Ovis aries: one gene and its partners. The main gene of each other region encodes a partner of the protein of the gene in region 3 in a complex. Links are inferred from orthologs where the notes say so. Each region holds a gene or a part of one and is shown on either strand. Other genes may lie near its edges. The genes, in order: NCAPG2, NCAPH2 and NCAPD3.

The links.
Region 1: the proteins of NCAPD3 (region 3) and NCAPG2 are in contact, whole or in part, in a cryo-EM structure (PDB 9F5W), measured with the Homo sapiens proteins. The link is inferred for Ovis aries from reciprocal best matches to the Homo sapiens genes NCAPD3 and NCAPG2. Residues at the interface, in NP_056076.1 of Homo sapiens: Glu1213, Lys1216, Ile1217, Pro1218, Leu1220, Gln1247, Ser1250, Glu1251, Tyr1254, Lys1258; in NP_001268861.1 of Homo sapiens: Phe291, Lys332, Pro333, Ile334, Trp336, Lys340, Ala341, Arg342, Arg347.
Region 2: the proteins of NCAPD3 (region 3) and NCAPH2 are in contact, whole or in part, in a cryo-EM structure (PDB 9F5W), measured with the Homo sapiens proteins. The link is inferred for Ovis aries from reciprocal best matches to the Homo sapiens genes NCAPD3 and NCAPH2. Residues at the interface, in NP_056076.1 of Homo sapiens: Arg589, Pro591, Met629, Glu680, Arg683, Tyr684, His690, Lys724, Glu793, Asp800, Gln803, Arg804, Arg807, Gln817, Leu820, Gln865, Leu866, Cys867, Pro868, Ala869, Arg870, Val871, Val918, Ile925, Lys929, Leu932, Gln933, His934, Ala956, Asn960; in NP_689512.2 of Homo sapiens: Trp22, Ser68, Lys69, Glu72, Tyr75, Tyr79, Leu82, Asp83, Ser86, Ile144, Ile145, Pro146, Leu147, Leu148, Met150, Ala151, Leu152, Val153, Asp156, Glu159, Asn161, Asn162, Asn163, Pro164, Leu165, Tyr166, Ser167, Arg168, Gly170, Leu173.

What each region holds. Positions count from the first base shown.
Region 1 is NC_056057.1:120,942,717-120,946,696, forward strand, and holds part of NCAPG2 (condensin-2 complex subunit G2), read right to left. Parts: intron 2,142-3,980; coding exon 1,968-2,141; intron 218-1,967; coding exon 147-217; intron 1-146. UniProt on the Homo sapiens protein: Regulatory subunit of the condensin-2 complex, a complex which establishes mitotic chromosome architecture and is involved in physical rigidity of the chromatid axis.
Region 2 is NC_056056.1:225,743,069-225,747,048, forward strand, and holds the end of NCAPH2 (condensin-2 complex subunit H2), read left to right. Parts: coding exon 1-64; intron 65-275; coding exon 276-359; intron 360-653; coding exon 654-889; intron 890-1,618; coding exon 1,619-1,690; intron 1,691-1,875; coding exon 1,876-2,194; intron 2,195-2,265; coding exon 2,266-2,319; intron 2,320-2,462; coding exon 2,463-2,533; intron 2,534-2,611; coding exon 2,612-2,705; intron 2,706-2,789; coding exon 2,790-2,861; intron 2,862-2,939; coding exon 2,940-2,995; intron 2,996-3,077; coding exon 3,078-3,209; intron 3,210-3,299; coding exon 3,300-3,449; intron 3,450-3,514; coding exon 3,515-3,655; 3' UTR 3,656-3,747; downstream 3,748-3,980. Other genes in the region: protein SCO2 homolog, mitochondrial, read right to left, coding at 3,925-3,980. UniProt on the Homo sapiens protein: Regulatory subunit of the condensin-2 complex, a complex that seems to provide chromosomes with an additional level of organization and rigidity and in establishing mitotic chromosome architecture.
Region 3 is NC_056068.1:82,063,073-82,067,052, reverse strand, and holds part of NCAPD3 (condensin-2 complex subunit D3), read left to right. Parts: coding exon 1-59; intron 60-140; coding exon 141-202; intron 203-392; coding exon 393-480; intron 481-2,485; coding exon 2,486-2,619; intron 2,620-3,980.

The DNA of each region.
Region 1 (3,980 bases), on a different chromosome or scaffold from region 3:
CGGCTCAGCTCAGACCGCGTGTCCCCACCTGCACTTGGATGAGTCCCGGCGCTCAGTGCCCCGGGCCCTGGAAGCCGCTGCCCTGCCCTCCTGCCTGCAGGCCACGCGGGCATTGCTGGGGAGACCAGAGGGCGGGTAGCAGGCACCTGAAGGTGGGCACAGCCGGGGCGGGCATCAGGGACGCCAGCACGCACAGAGGGGTCCTGCAGCGGTCGTCCTGGGGGCAGGGAAAGACACAGAGGGGAATGTGAGCAGTGCGGCCTACGGGCCCTCCGCCCGAGGAACCCACTGCAGGGCCGCTGGGTGGGGACAGCACACAACAGGACCCGGGCTCTGCGAGGCTCCAGGTGTGCTGGGTCTTCTCAGGCTTCCCCAGGATGCTTCCCTACTTTCCGTGATGTGTCGTTCTTATTAAACACCCACTGTGTACCAGGAGACCCTGGGGACACAGCAGTGCCCAGAACAGACCAAAGTCCTTGCTGTGAAGGCACTGACTTGCATTCTAAAAAGAATACTGATGAAAGAAAAAAATTACAATCCTATGTACCTGGTGTGCCCTCAGTGTAAAACTCAAGAAAACGAAGCTAATCAGAAAAGTTCTTAATCAGAACACCTTCGGAAGGCAGGGCAGTGCAACGGAGCTACCTGGCCAAGCCCAAGTCCCAGTGGAGCCCACAGCCCAGCCAGCAGGGACCAGCAGGGAGAAGGCTGCTCTCTGGGCAGGGCTGGCAGGGACCCGTGAGGAAAGCACGAAGGCCCCCAGAGCCACTTTGCACACGGCAGCCACCTCACCACAGCCATCCCTGTTGCCGTAACAGGGCCGACAGGCCAGACGCCACCCAGATCACTAAGAAGAAATACCCTCAGATGGCAACACAACCAGAGAAGATGGGTCCTAAAAGGAAGAGAAACAACAATTTTCCTGAAAAATAAACAGGAGCAAACTCACAGTTCCATCTGTAAGTAATCTGCATTCAGGCAGAGTGAACACGCCCTCATCCTCAACTTCCAATACACAAAATATTTTCTTAATGTCACAACAGACAGCTGATCGCTACTCCCAGTTCTGCTCTAAGCGTGGCTCACAGACGGTTTACCCACTGACAGGAAGACCACAAGGTTCTCAGATGGACTGAGGGCAGAGAGGCTCTCTGGCCAGAATCGCTCGGGACTGAAGCACTTAATGGACCGCCTGCCTTTTCCCAGACACTCCCAGGGCACACTGCTCTTCTGTCAGCTCATCCAGGACCCGACCTCCTCCGTGTGCTATCTACTGCTCAGCCTAGTGAAGCTGTCTGACCCTTTAAACGTCCTAGTGACGGGGCAGCCTTCGTCCTTCACCTTCACAGACCGGTCACATGGGCGTTTCAGGGGCTGAATGGATCTCGGAGACCTAACAGTCACAGAAATACAGCTCCAAAAGCTAAAAGGTCTAAGGTCACACAAGCAGCTGTATAAGAACCAGAAGTAAACTTTCCCAAGAGAAGAGTGATCCCTAAGACCTGTGACCGCTCTATGTTTAAGCCACGCTTTCTTTGTAATTGGAAATAAACCTGCACTTTTACATAGCAGTTTTATTTCCATTAGTTCTGAAATATGGCCTTTGGGTTTCCTTCACTTAAGCAGAAGATACACACACGGTCCATCTGCCCCAGTAACACAGACACGACTCAGAGGCTTCAGAAACAGGTGCTTACCAGGTGCCGTCAGAGGCCCCCACACCAGGGGGCAGTGCATCCTGGATGTTCACAGACTCCTCTCTCTCAATTCCCAGCACGTCAAACTAGATTCTAAAACCGGGTCGCAGGCCATTAGCAATGGAAGACCAGAGCCACCTGGACACGCGCTGGGACGGAGGCTGGAGGCCGCCCAGCCCCACCACACAGGGAGAGCGCCGTGAGTCCCGGCAGCAGCTGGCTCAGCCATGCGCACGGGGGCTGCTCCGCTCCTCAGGGCGGCCGTCTTACCGTGAACACTCGCATGTACTGCGGCAGCACCGAGGCAAACTTGTCCACAGTGTACATTCGGGCCTCCTTGTTATTCTCCAGGCTCCTGTGAATGCTCCTCCAGAGAATCACCACGATCTCCAGCAGCCCTGCCATAGACGCGGCATCGCTCACCGACAGTGTCTGGTCCAGAGCCTAAGACAAAAATCACCGTGAAAGAATGAATCGCTCGACTATTAAGGGAATGGCACTGTCTTTAATAGCATGTCTCAGAATTCCAGCCCTACAGTAGAAATGCAAACGATGGGCAGGGAGAACCCCCAAGGCTGCGGTATGGTGTCTGAGGGGACCCACCCCCCTCGACCAGGGGCGGTTCCAGCTTGGTCTCAAGCAGCAGGCCTGCATGCGCCTTCCAAGCTTGGCGGCAGGGGACGGCAGCACCGCTACGTCCTGAGGGTTCTATGACTCCTCCGCGTTTGTGCAGGGTGGGAGCCCACACCCATCACCACCGCGAGGTGCAAAGGATGACTCATTCCGAGTCCTGGGATTTCTGTGCTCCTCAAATGGGATGGGAGAAGATACAGGGAGCAAATGACCCGAACTAAAGAGGGTGCCTTTTCACCACTGTTCACGGGTTCTCCAGGCAAGAATATCACCATTCCCTTCTTCAGTGGACCACGCTTTGTCAGCCATGAAATTAAAAGATGCTTGCTCCTTGGAAGAAAGGCTATGACAAACCTTGACAGTATATTAAAAAGCAGAGACATTACTTTGCCAAAAAAGGTCCATCTAGTCAAAGCCACGGTTTTCCCAGTAGTCATATACGGATGCGAGAGTTGGACTGTGAAGAAGGCTGAGCACAGAAGAATTGATACTTTCGAACTGTGGTGTTGGAGAAGACTCTTGAGAGTCCCTTGGACTGCAAGGAGATCAAGTCAGTCAATCCTAAAGGAAACCATTCGTGAATATTCATTGGAAGGACTGATGCCGAAGCTGAAGCTCCAATACTTTGGCCACCTGATGTGAAGAACTGACTCATTGGAAAAGATCCTGACGCTGGGAGAGATTGAAGGCAGGAAGAGAAGGGGGTACAAGACGATGAGATGGCTGGATGGCATCACTGACTCAAATGAGTCTGAGCAAGCTCTGGGAGATGGTGAAGGACAGGGAGGCCTGGCGTGCTGCAGTCCACGCGGTCACAAAGACTCAGACATGACTGAGTGAGCAACAAAAGAGGGTGTACAGAAAACCAAAACCAGCCGTGACGCAAAGGCAGATTTTCAATAGGCTCTTAATACTTGGAACGACTCACGGCTAAATTTAAAACCAGTAACACTGTTAAAGGTTTAGAAAATACTATGTGAATGACAAAAATAACAAATTAACACAACAAACTTTCGATCTGGATTTTGGTTTTCACAGTCTACCATTAGGCATAGCAATCTTATCACCAAGTCCCCGGAGAAAGGCACCACTTTCCCTTTACAAAGATATGCTGAGTTCCAAAGACTTCATCAAACAGAAAGCAGAGATTTTAGTAGAGAGCAATGGGAAGAAGTAGAAGAATAAACTCAGAAACTTTTGCTTTTAGCCATTATATGTCCTTAGAATGACAACATCCAGATGGAAATTTGTATTTCTTTTCTACTACCAGTTATAATCAGTTCAGTTCAGTTCAGTCGCTCAGTCGGGTCCAACTCTTTGCAGCCCCGTTGACTGCAGCACACCAGGCCTCCCTGTCCATCACCAACTCCCAGAGCTTGCTCAAACTCATGGCCATGAAGTCTAACCATCTAACCATCTCATCCTCTGTCGTCCCCGTCTCCTCCTGCCTTCAATCTTTCCCAGCATCAGGGTCTTTTCCAATGAGTCAGTTCTTCACATTAAGTGGCCAGAGGACTGGAGTTTCATCTTCAGCATCAGTCCTTCCAATGAATATTCAGGACTGATTTCCTTTAAGATGGACTGGTTGGATCTCCTTGCTCTCCAAGGGACTCTCAAGAGTCTTCTCCAACACCACAAAAGCATCAGTTT
Region 2 (3,980 bases), on a different chromosome or scaffold from region 3:
ACATTCCTGCTGGAGCCGCTGGGCGTGTCCCTCATGGAGGCCCTGCAGCCGTGGAACCCGAAGGGTGAGGACCTGGGCAGGGACGAGGCGGGCTCGCGCCCACTGTTCGGGCCTGCCTGCTGGGCGGGGCCTCTGCCCACAGCTGGCTCAGCCCCAGAGGGCCCGCGGCCTGTGCTGGGCTGTGTTCCCTGTCCCCAGTTCTGGCCGCGTGGGGCCTAGGAGGGACCTTGTAGGGGGAGCAGGGCTGACCGTGTGCGATCCCTGCTCTCTCGCAGAGCCTGGAAGGGCCGAGGAGCAGCCCATGGAAGTCTCTGTGTGCGGGAGTCCCGGCCCGGCACTCAGCACCTCCCAGGAGCCAGGTGAGAAGCGAGCTCCCAGGCGGGCCTGCGGGGGGGCTGGGGAGGGCCTCTGCGCTCAGCACCCACCCTGTCCAGCGCTGCAGCCTGGGGGGCTAAGGCTCGGGGGCAGGCCTCCGTGCCCCGGGCCCACCTTGGCCAGCTGTGCTGTCTTGGTTCAGTGGCTGCCCCCAGACCAGCTTTCTCTCTGAGCAGACAGAGGCGGCAGCATTTGAAGAGGAAAATTACTAAAAACTAAAGTGAAGCAAACAGAGCAGCGGTGTGACGCGAGTGTGCCGTGCTGTTTGCTCCCCACAGGTGACGCTGCGGCAGGGACGGCACCTCATCCCCAGGCGCAGTCCCCGCTGCCTGGCCTTCTGGCTCCCGAGGCTGACTGTCTCGTGTCCCTGCCAGGCTCCTCTCCAGACGGCCCAGCGCCCAGAGGTGGGGGCGTGGGAGAGGACAGAGAGGATGCAGAAGGGGCAGCAGAGCCCCCTGAGGCCTCAGCACTTGAGGTCCCTATGGAGCCCCTGGAGCCCAGGAGCCCTGAGCAGGTGGGACCCCGAGGGAGGCCTGCTGAGCCCCCACCCTCAGCCAGGCGAGCCCCGGTGGGGACGGCGCGTGCGTGGGGCAGGCGGTCCCCTGGGCTGCCGGCTCTCTGGGCCTTGTGCGCCAGGGCAGTGGGTGTGTCCGCCAGCCGGCCCCAGCCCCACACCCTGCCCTTTCCAACAGCAGCTTTCACGGCTCCCTCTCTGAGCAGAGCAGCTGCTGCTCTTCAGGGGTGGACTGGTGCCCAGGGGCAGCACCCAGAATGGCACTGGTCTCCAGAGCCGACTCTCGAGGCCAGGCTGGCAGGAGTGGGCGGGCCTGTCAGGTTCGATTGGTTGTTTTTGCCTAATTGCTGTCACGTCCGACTCTCTGTGACCCCATGGACTGCAGCCTGCCAGGCTCCTCCATCTGTGGGATTCTCTGGGCAAGGATACTGGAGTGGGTCGCCATGCCCTCCTCCAGGGGATCTTGCCGACCCAGGGATGGAACCCAGGTCTCCCGCACTGCAGGCGGATTCTTCACCGTCTGTTTTTCTCTTTGAGGAAGTATCTCGCCGCCACTCGTCCAGTTCCTATCGCCTAAATCTTTATTAGCTTTTCACCTTCTCGTCGTTGAACTTCCTGCCCCCAGGGGCTTTCTGCAGGGCTCCCCATGTCTGGCCCCGGAGCAGAGCTGCTGGCGGCCTGGGATCCTGGGTGGAGGAGGAGAGGGGAATCCCAGGTTTTCCTTTGCAGAGTGCTGCCCAGCCCAGGAGGTGTGCACTCCGGGAGCGGAAGGAGGCCCCGGAGCCCGCATCCAGGCTGCAGGTGAGGGGCGGGCGGCCTGGAGCCCGGCGGGGGGTGGGGGGGGCGCCCTCGGCAGTGCGTCTCTTGAGCACTCTTCCTCCCCCAGCGCTGGGCCTCCCTGCTGCAGCTCCAGGGTGCCCCCTCCCTGAGCTCTCAACTAGGGGAGGGTGCGTGTCCTCCACCCTCCTGTGTCTGCTTGTGCTCAGGACACCCCAGACCCCTGGCAGGGCCTGGACCCCTTCGACTCTCCAGATTCTAAGCCCTTCAGGAAAGGTAACGCGGCGGGCATGGCCCCTGGGCACTGGGGGTGGGGGCTGGATTCACCCGGCTTGAGTGGAGGTTGGGGCTCCACGGCCTGTGGGCACGGAGATGGCCCTGGGCTGTGGCTGTGCTCCGGGACTGCCTGTCTGCCCCCAGGCAGGCCCTACTCTGTGCCCCCCCGCGTGGAAGAGGCGCCAGGACAGAAGCGTAAGAGGAAGGGTGCCGTCAAGCTGCAGGATTTCCACCAGTGGTACCTGGCCGCCTGTGCGTGGGGCCCAGGGTCGGGTGCGGCTGTGGGCCTCAGCTCGGCCCCTGCTGACCCGGGCTTCTTGCAGATGCTGACCACACAGACAGCAGGAGGTCCCGGCGAAAGGGCCCTTCCTTCGCAGGTGAGCCTGGGGCCTGGGGCTCTTTGAGGGAGGCTGACCCCACATTGCACCGCCCCCCTCAGCCTCGGGAGGCCGGAGGCCAAGTGGACTTGGGTGGGCCTGGGCAGGATGAGGGAGCCCCCTCATGAGGCTTGTGTGCGCAGACATGGAGGTTCTGTACTGGAAGCACGTGAAGGAGCAGCTGGAGACGCTCCGGAAGATGCAGAGGAGGGAGGCAAGTACCGGCCACCATGTGGACCCCGCGGGGCCTGGTGGGAGACAGCAGTGCCTCTGATGGGCTGTCTCTGCACAGGCGGCTGAGCGGTGGTTGCCGAGGGCTGAGCAGGGGCTGTGGCCTGTGGAGGAGGACCGCCTGGAGGACTCGGTGGAAGACCTGGGCGCCGCAGGTGGGGCCTCCAGGGGCAGGCCGGGGCAGGGCTCAGCGCCCACCGCAGCCTAACTCGCCTTGTGCCCGGGTGCTCCCTTCTCAGCAGATGACTTCCTGGAGCCTGAGGAGTACGCAGAGCCCGAAGGGGCAGAGCCCGGGGAAGAGGCAAACATGGGTAGGTCTGGGAGTGGGCTGCTGGCCTGAGGAGCCCTGAAGACGGGAGGGACAGACGCTCACGGCCGCACTTTTGCAGAAGCGGAAGCCATGCCAGCGTCTCTGCGCTATGAGGAGCTGGTCCAAAGGAACGTGGTAGGCCCAGGTCAGAGTGGGGGCAGCCGGGCGGGGCGGGGGCGGGCCCTGCACCCAGCTGCTGGCCCCGGTCCTCCCCCAGGAGCTCTTCGTCACCACCTCGAAGCAGGACGTCTTCGTGACCACCTCGAGGCAGGAGCTCGTCCAGGAGACGGAGCTGAAGCAGCACATCAGGGGCTGGGAGGAGGCCATCCAGACCCTGCTCCAGGAGCAGGTGAGGCGGGCTGGGCGGGCCCCTGGCGGAGGATGGCGTCCCCTGCCGCCTGCCTTGGGCCAGCCCGGGACCCTCCCTTCCCCTCCGCAGGAGGAGCATGTGCCCTTTGACATCCACACCTACGGGGACCAGGTGGTCTCCCGGTTCAGCCAGCTCAACCAGTGGTGTCCCTTCGCGAAGCTGGTGGCAGGCCAGCCTGCCTTCGAAGTGTGCCGCTCCATGCTGGCCTCCCTGCAGCTGGTGAGTGGCCCAGGCGTCTGGGAGGGAAGTGGCCCCGGCCTCTGCTAACGCTTGGCGTCCTACAGGCCAATGACTACACAGTGGAGATCACCCAGCAGCCGGGGCTGGAGGCAGCCGTGGACACCATGTCCCTGAGGCTGCTCACACGCCAGCGGGCCCACCAGCGCTTCCAGACCTACGCCGCCCCCTCCACGGCCCAGCCCTGAGCAGGGAGCCCACGCCCCACGGACCCTGGGTGTGCGTCTGCGCCGTCTGCTTCCTGGCTGGCCCAGCCTAATAAAGTGTTGCCATCCCACCAGTCCCTTAAAACAAACCCTTTACCGAACCGTCGTGTTTAGGGGAGAGGGTTGTCTGTCCCCTGCGCCCCAGGAGGCAGCCACCAGGCCCCCAGCCCCCCGCCCGCCAGGGCCTGCAGGGGCGGCCGATACAGATCTCACGCGCACACGGCTCCGTCACAGCCCTTTAATGGCCGGGCTCAGTGCAGGACACTGCGGAAGGCAGCCATGTGGCGCCGCACGCTGTCTGTGATCT
Region 3 (3,980 bases):
GGCTTCTTTCTAAATTCTCCTTAAAGGAAAAGCCAGAGTGTATACAGAATTGTGTGGAGGTAAGTGAGAATGCCAGGGACCTTGGGCAAGTTCAAAGAGAGTGGGAAAAATCAGGCCTTTTCTTGGTGTCTGTTTTCCAGGTCTTTGTTGCGTTAACTAGTTTTGAACCAGTTCGTTACGAGTTCCAGGTTACACAAGCCAGGTGAGCAATTAAATCCCCCGGTGCTAACGTTTAATTATGGTGAGATGTTTCGCTGCAGCAGAGGTGTGAATGTCATTCTATCCTGATTGGCACACAGGTAGAATTCATTCATTTAAATAAGGCTGATAGGGTTAGGAGTTTATCCTAGTGAAATCACATCCATTAACTAATCTTTTGCCTTTTTTTTTAGAGTTCTCAGAGAAATGAAGTATATACCAGAACTGGCCTACCATGGACTGTATCTGCTTTGTTCCCCTCTTCACAGAGAAGGAGACACGGTAAAGGAGACAGGAGCTGAGTTACAGGGAATTGAAAGCACACGGGTCGTGTGACTAGAAGTGCTGCAAGGACTCAGTGCGATGCTGTGTGAACTCGCTGGGTCGTTGGTGTCTGTGATGAGAAGCGCCCGTCAGCACGTGGTGGCCGCTGCTCGCTACAGGCTCATACCCAGGCCCCTGGTGCCGCAGGACACTCTTGTTGAGCTCAGGCATAAAGCAGGCCCCAGCGGGGCCTGCAGAGGCGCAGGAAAGCTGCTGGGCAGGGCTGCCGCTCGAGCGCTCACCAGAGCCCTCTGGGGGGCAGACAGCCACAGGCCTTGCAGCTCCCCCGCAGGCCCCGTGCCCCTGTGTTCCTGTTAGCGTCTGTGCTTTAGCAGATGATTCCAGAGTCCTCTGGGAGGACAGACAGCCATGGGGCCTTACAGCTCCCCCGCAGGCCCCTCTGCCCCTGTGTTCCTGTTAGCGTCTGTGCCTTAGTGGATGATTCTGCTGACACTCCTGGTCAGCATTCATATCTGGATTTGCCTGTGGTGACCTTCAGAGCCGCACAGCCCTAGACACTGGGGTCAGGGCTTTGTGAGCCCTGGGGTGTTACTGAACCTGAATGTCGTTAGTGCAGCAGGAGTCTGCAGAAAACATGGCAGACCAAGGCCCTTGCCTTCAGCGCCTGCAGTGCCCTGGTTTCCAGGGAGCGGGGTGAGGAGGCCCTGGGCACGTGGGCTCCGCACTTGGGTCCTACGCCTCACTGCTGTGTGTCTCCCTTTAAAAAGAAAAAACATTCCAACTTATTTTTGGCTGTGCTGGGTCTTTGCGGCTGCGAGCAGGCTTTCTCTCAGTCGCCGTGAGTGGGGGCTGCTCTCTGATTGCGGTGCAGTGGCATCTCGTGGAGCACTGGCTTAGTTGCTCTGAGGCATGTGGGATCCTCCCAGACCAGGGGTTGACCCGGTGTCCCCTGCATTGGCAGAGGGATTCCTCACCACTGAGCCACAGAAGAAGCCCTGTGTGTCCTCCATGAGTCCTTGGTATCCTCACCTGGACAAGGAGGATGAGGGCCTTCCCTTCCTGTGGATTTCTCAGGAGGACTGCAGGGAAGAGTGCCTCGGCGTAATGCCTGCTGTTTAGAAAACACCCCATCCTTCTTTAATTTTTGATGTCATTATCTCTTCCCTGTGTCTGGAATATGTGATAGCATTTACAGTAAAACTTTTAATTTCTGTGCCCTTTTTAGCATTGTAGAGTAGAAAGTGCAGAGGATGGGAAATTACCCTTTCAGGTGGCAGTGTCTCTAAGGACAGGGTGTTTTTCATTGCAAAAGTGTTGGCCTGATGTTGGGTGACTGTGGTTGTAGCCTTATCTTTGATTACTTGACTTGGGACTGCTCATCTTCAAAGTCTTTTGGTATGTATAAAGTGGAGATAATAATAGTATCAAGTATAGAATGGAAATGTTTTGCTGACCTCATTGAGTTGAGAGATTTCAGAGTAAGTATGGTCAAATCTTGTAGTACAGAGACATGCTTAATGCAGTACCGGCCACATCCTTGGTTTCCAGTAATTATTTTATTCACTGGTTGCACAAGCTAACCCTTTGAGTAGATTCTGTGAGATGATATACGGGAAGGTGTTCTGTAAGCTTCAGCTGTAACATAGGTGGAGAATCATCCCCTTCCTCTTTCCTGTGGGGGGTAATCCGTTGCATTCTTCGGCCTTGCTCAGTTGCAGCTGATTCTCGAGCCCTGGTTTCTGGGCTGGAGTATAAGGCAAGCAGAGAAACTGGGTGGAATCCGGCTGATCAGTCTGTAGGCAGCACCTCCGCACTGTTCGTTTTGTGCAGGTATGACACCTGGTCGTTGTGCAGCAGGCGCACCCTTCGTGGTCCGCCAGAACCTGTGCCAACCTCCTTTACCTGCTGGCACTTGAAACAGCTCACTGGGGTCTGCGTCACAGTTGGCAAGGCCCTGGGATTCTCTGTCATGCCTTAAGCTGCATGTCCTTTCCTCTTCCAGGTTCTCAGATACGTTTTGCATCAAATGCTCTGCATAATACTGATGGTAGAAGTGGGCAAAGGCTCCCATCACACCCCGCTTGCCATCACGCCGCCGGTTGTCAGCAGTAGGAAGCTGGCCATCCAGTTTGTAAGGTAAAGGGCACATAGCTCGCGTCTCTCCGTCACTCGCCCTCAGTAGCCTGGGCCCTGTGCTAGCCGCGGCTTCTGACACCTGAGGAGCTGACACGTGTCTGGGCTGTGTGTGGCTTGTGGTTCAGGATAAAGCGCATAGCAGCCCATCTGGCTTGTGCGGTAGGGGTGGTGTAGGGGGTGCTGTTGGGCGTGCTGTAGGGGTGGTGTAGGGGATGGTGTTGCAGGTGCTGTAGGGGGTGGTGTAGCGGGTGGTGTTGGGGGTGTAGGGGGTGCTGTTGGGGGTGTAGGGGGTGCTGTAGGGGTGCTGTTGGGGGTGTAGGGGTGCTGTTGGGGTGGTGTAGGGGGTGCTGTAGGGGTGCTGTTGGGGGTGCTGTAGGGGTGGTGTAGGGGGTGCTGTTGGGCATGGTGTAGGGGGTGCTGTTAGGGGTGGTGTAGGGGGTGCTGTAGGGGTGCTGTTGGGGGTGCTGTAGGGGTGGTGTAGGGGGTGCTGTTGGGCATGGTGTAGGGGGTGCTGTTGGGGGTGGTGTTGGAGGTGCTGTTGGGGGTGGTGTTGGGGGTGCTGTAGGTGGTGGTGTGGCAGTGCTGTTGGGGGTGCTGTAGGGGGTGTTGTTGGGGGTGGTATAGGGGGTGCTGTAGGGGTGGTGTAGGGGGTGTTGTTGGGGGTGCTGTAGGGGTGGTGTAGGGGGTGATGTAGGGGTGCTGTTGGGGGTGGTGTTGGAGGTGCTGTTAGGGGTGCTGTAGGGGTGGTGTAGGGGTGCTGTTGGTGTAGGGGGTGCTGTTGGTGGTGTTGGAGGTGCTGTTGGGGGTGCTGTAGGGGGTGGTGTAGGGGTGCTGTTGGGGGTGGTGTAGGGGGTGCTGTTGGGGGTGTAGGGGGTGCTATAGGGGTGGTGTAGGCGGTGGTGTAGGGGTGCTGTTGGAGGTGCTGTTGGGGGTGGTGTAGGCGGTGCTATAGGGGTGGTATAGGGGGTGCTGTAGGGGTGCTGTTGGGGGTGGTGTAGGCGGTGCTGTAGGGGTGCTGTAGGGGTGCTGTTGGGGGTGGTGTAGGGGGTGGTGTGGCAGTGCTGTAGGGGGTGGTGTGGCAGTGCTGTTGGGGGTGGTGTAGGGGTGGTGTAGGGGGTGCTGTTGGGGGTGGTGAGGGGTTCGTGGCCTGTGGGCCCGCTGGTGAGGCCAGCTCTGAGTCCCGACTGCGGTCTCTGTGTCTGCTGCTCCAAGTCTGTCTCTGCCTTTCTGGCTCCTCTAAGTCTCTTTCCTTAGGTTCCTTGCCACTTTTTTTTTTTAACTTTTTTATCAATAATTGATAGACTCATCTTCTCACGAGTCAGCAGGCTTTGCCTGCAAAGTCCCATGTCGGGGCTTTACTA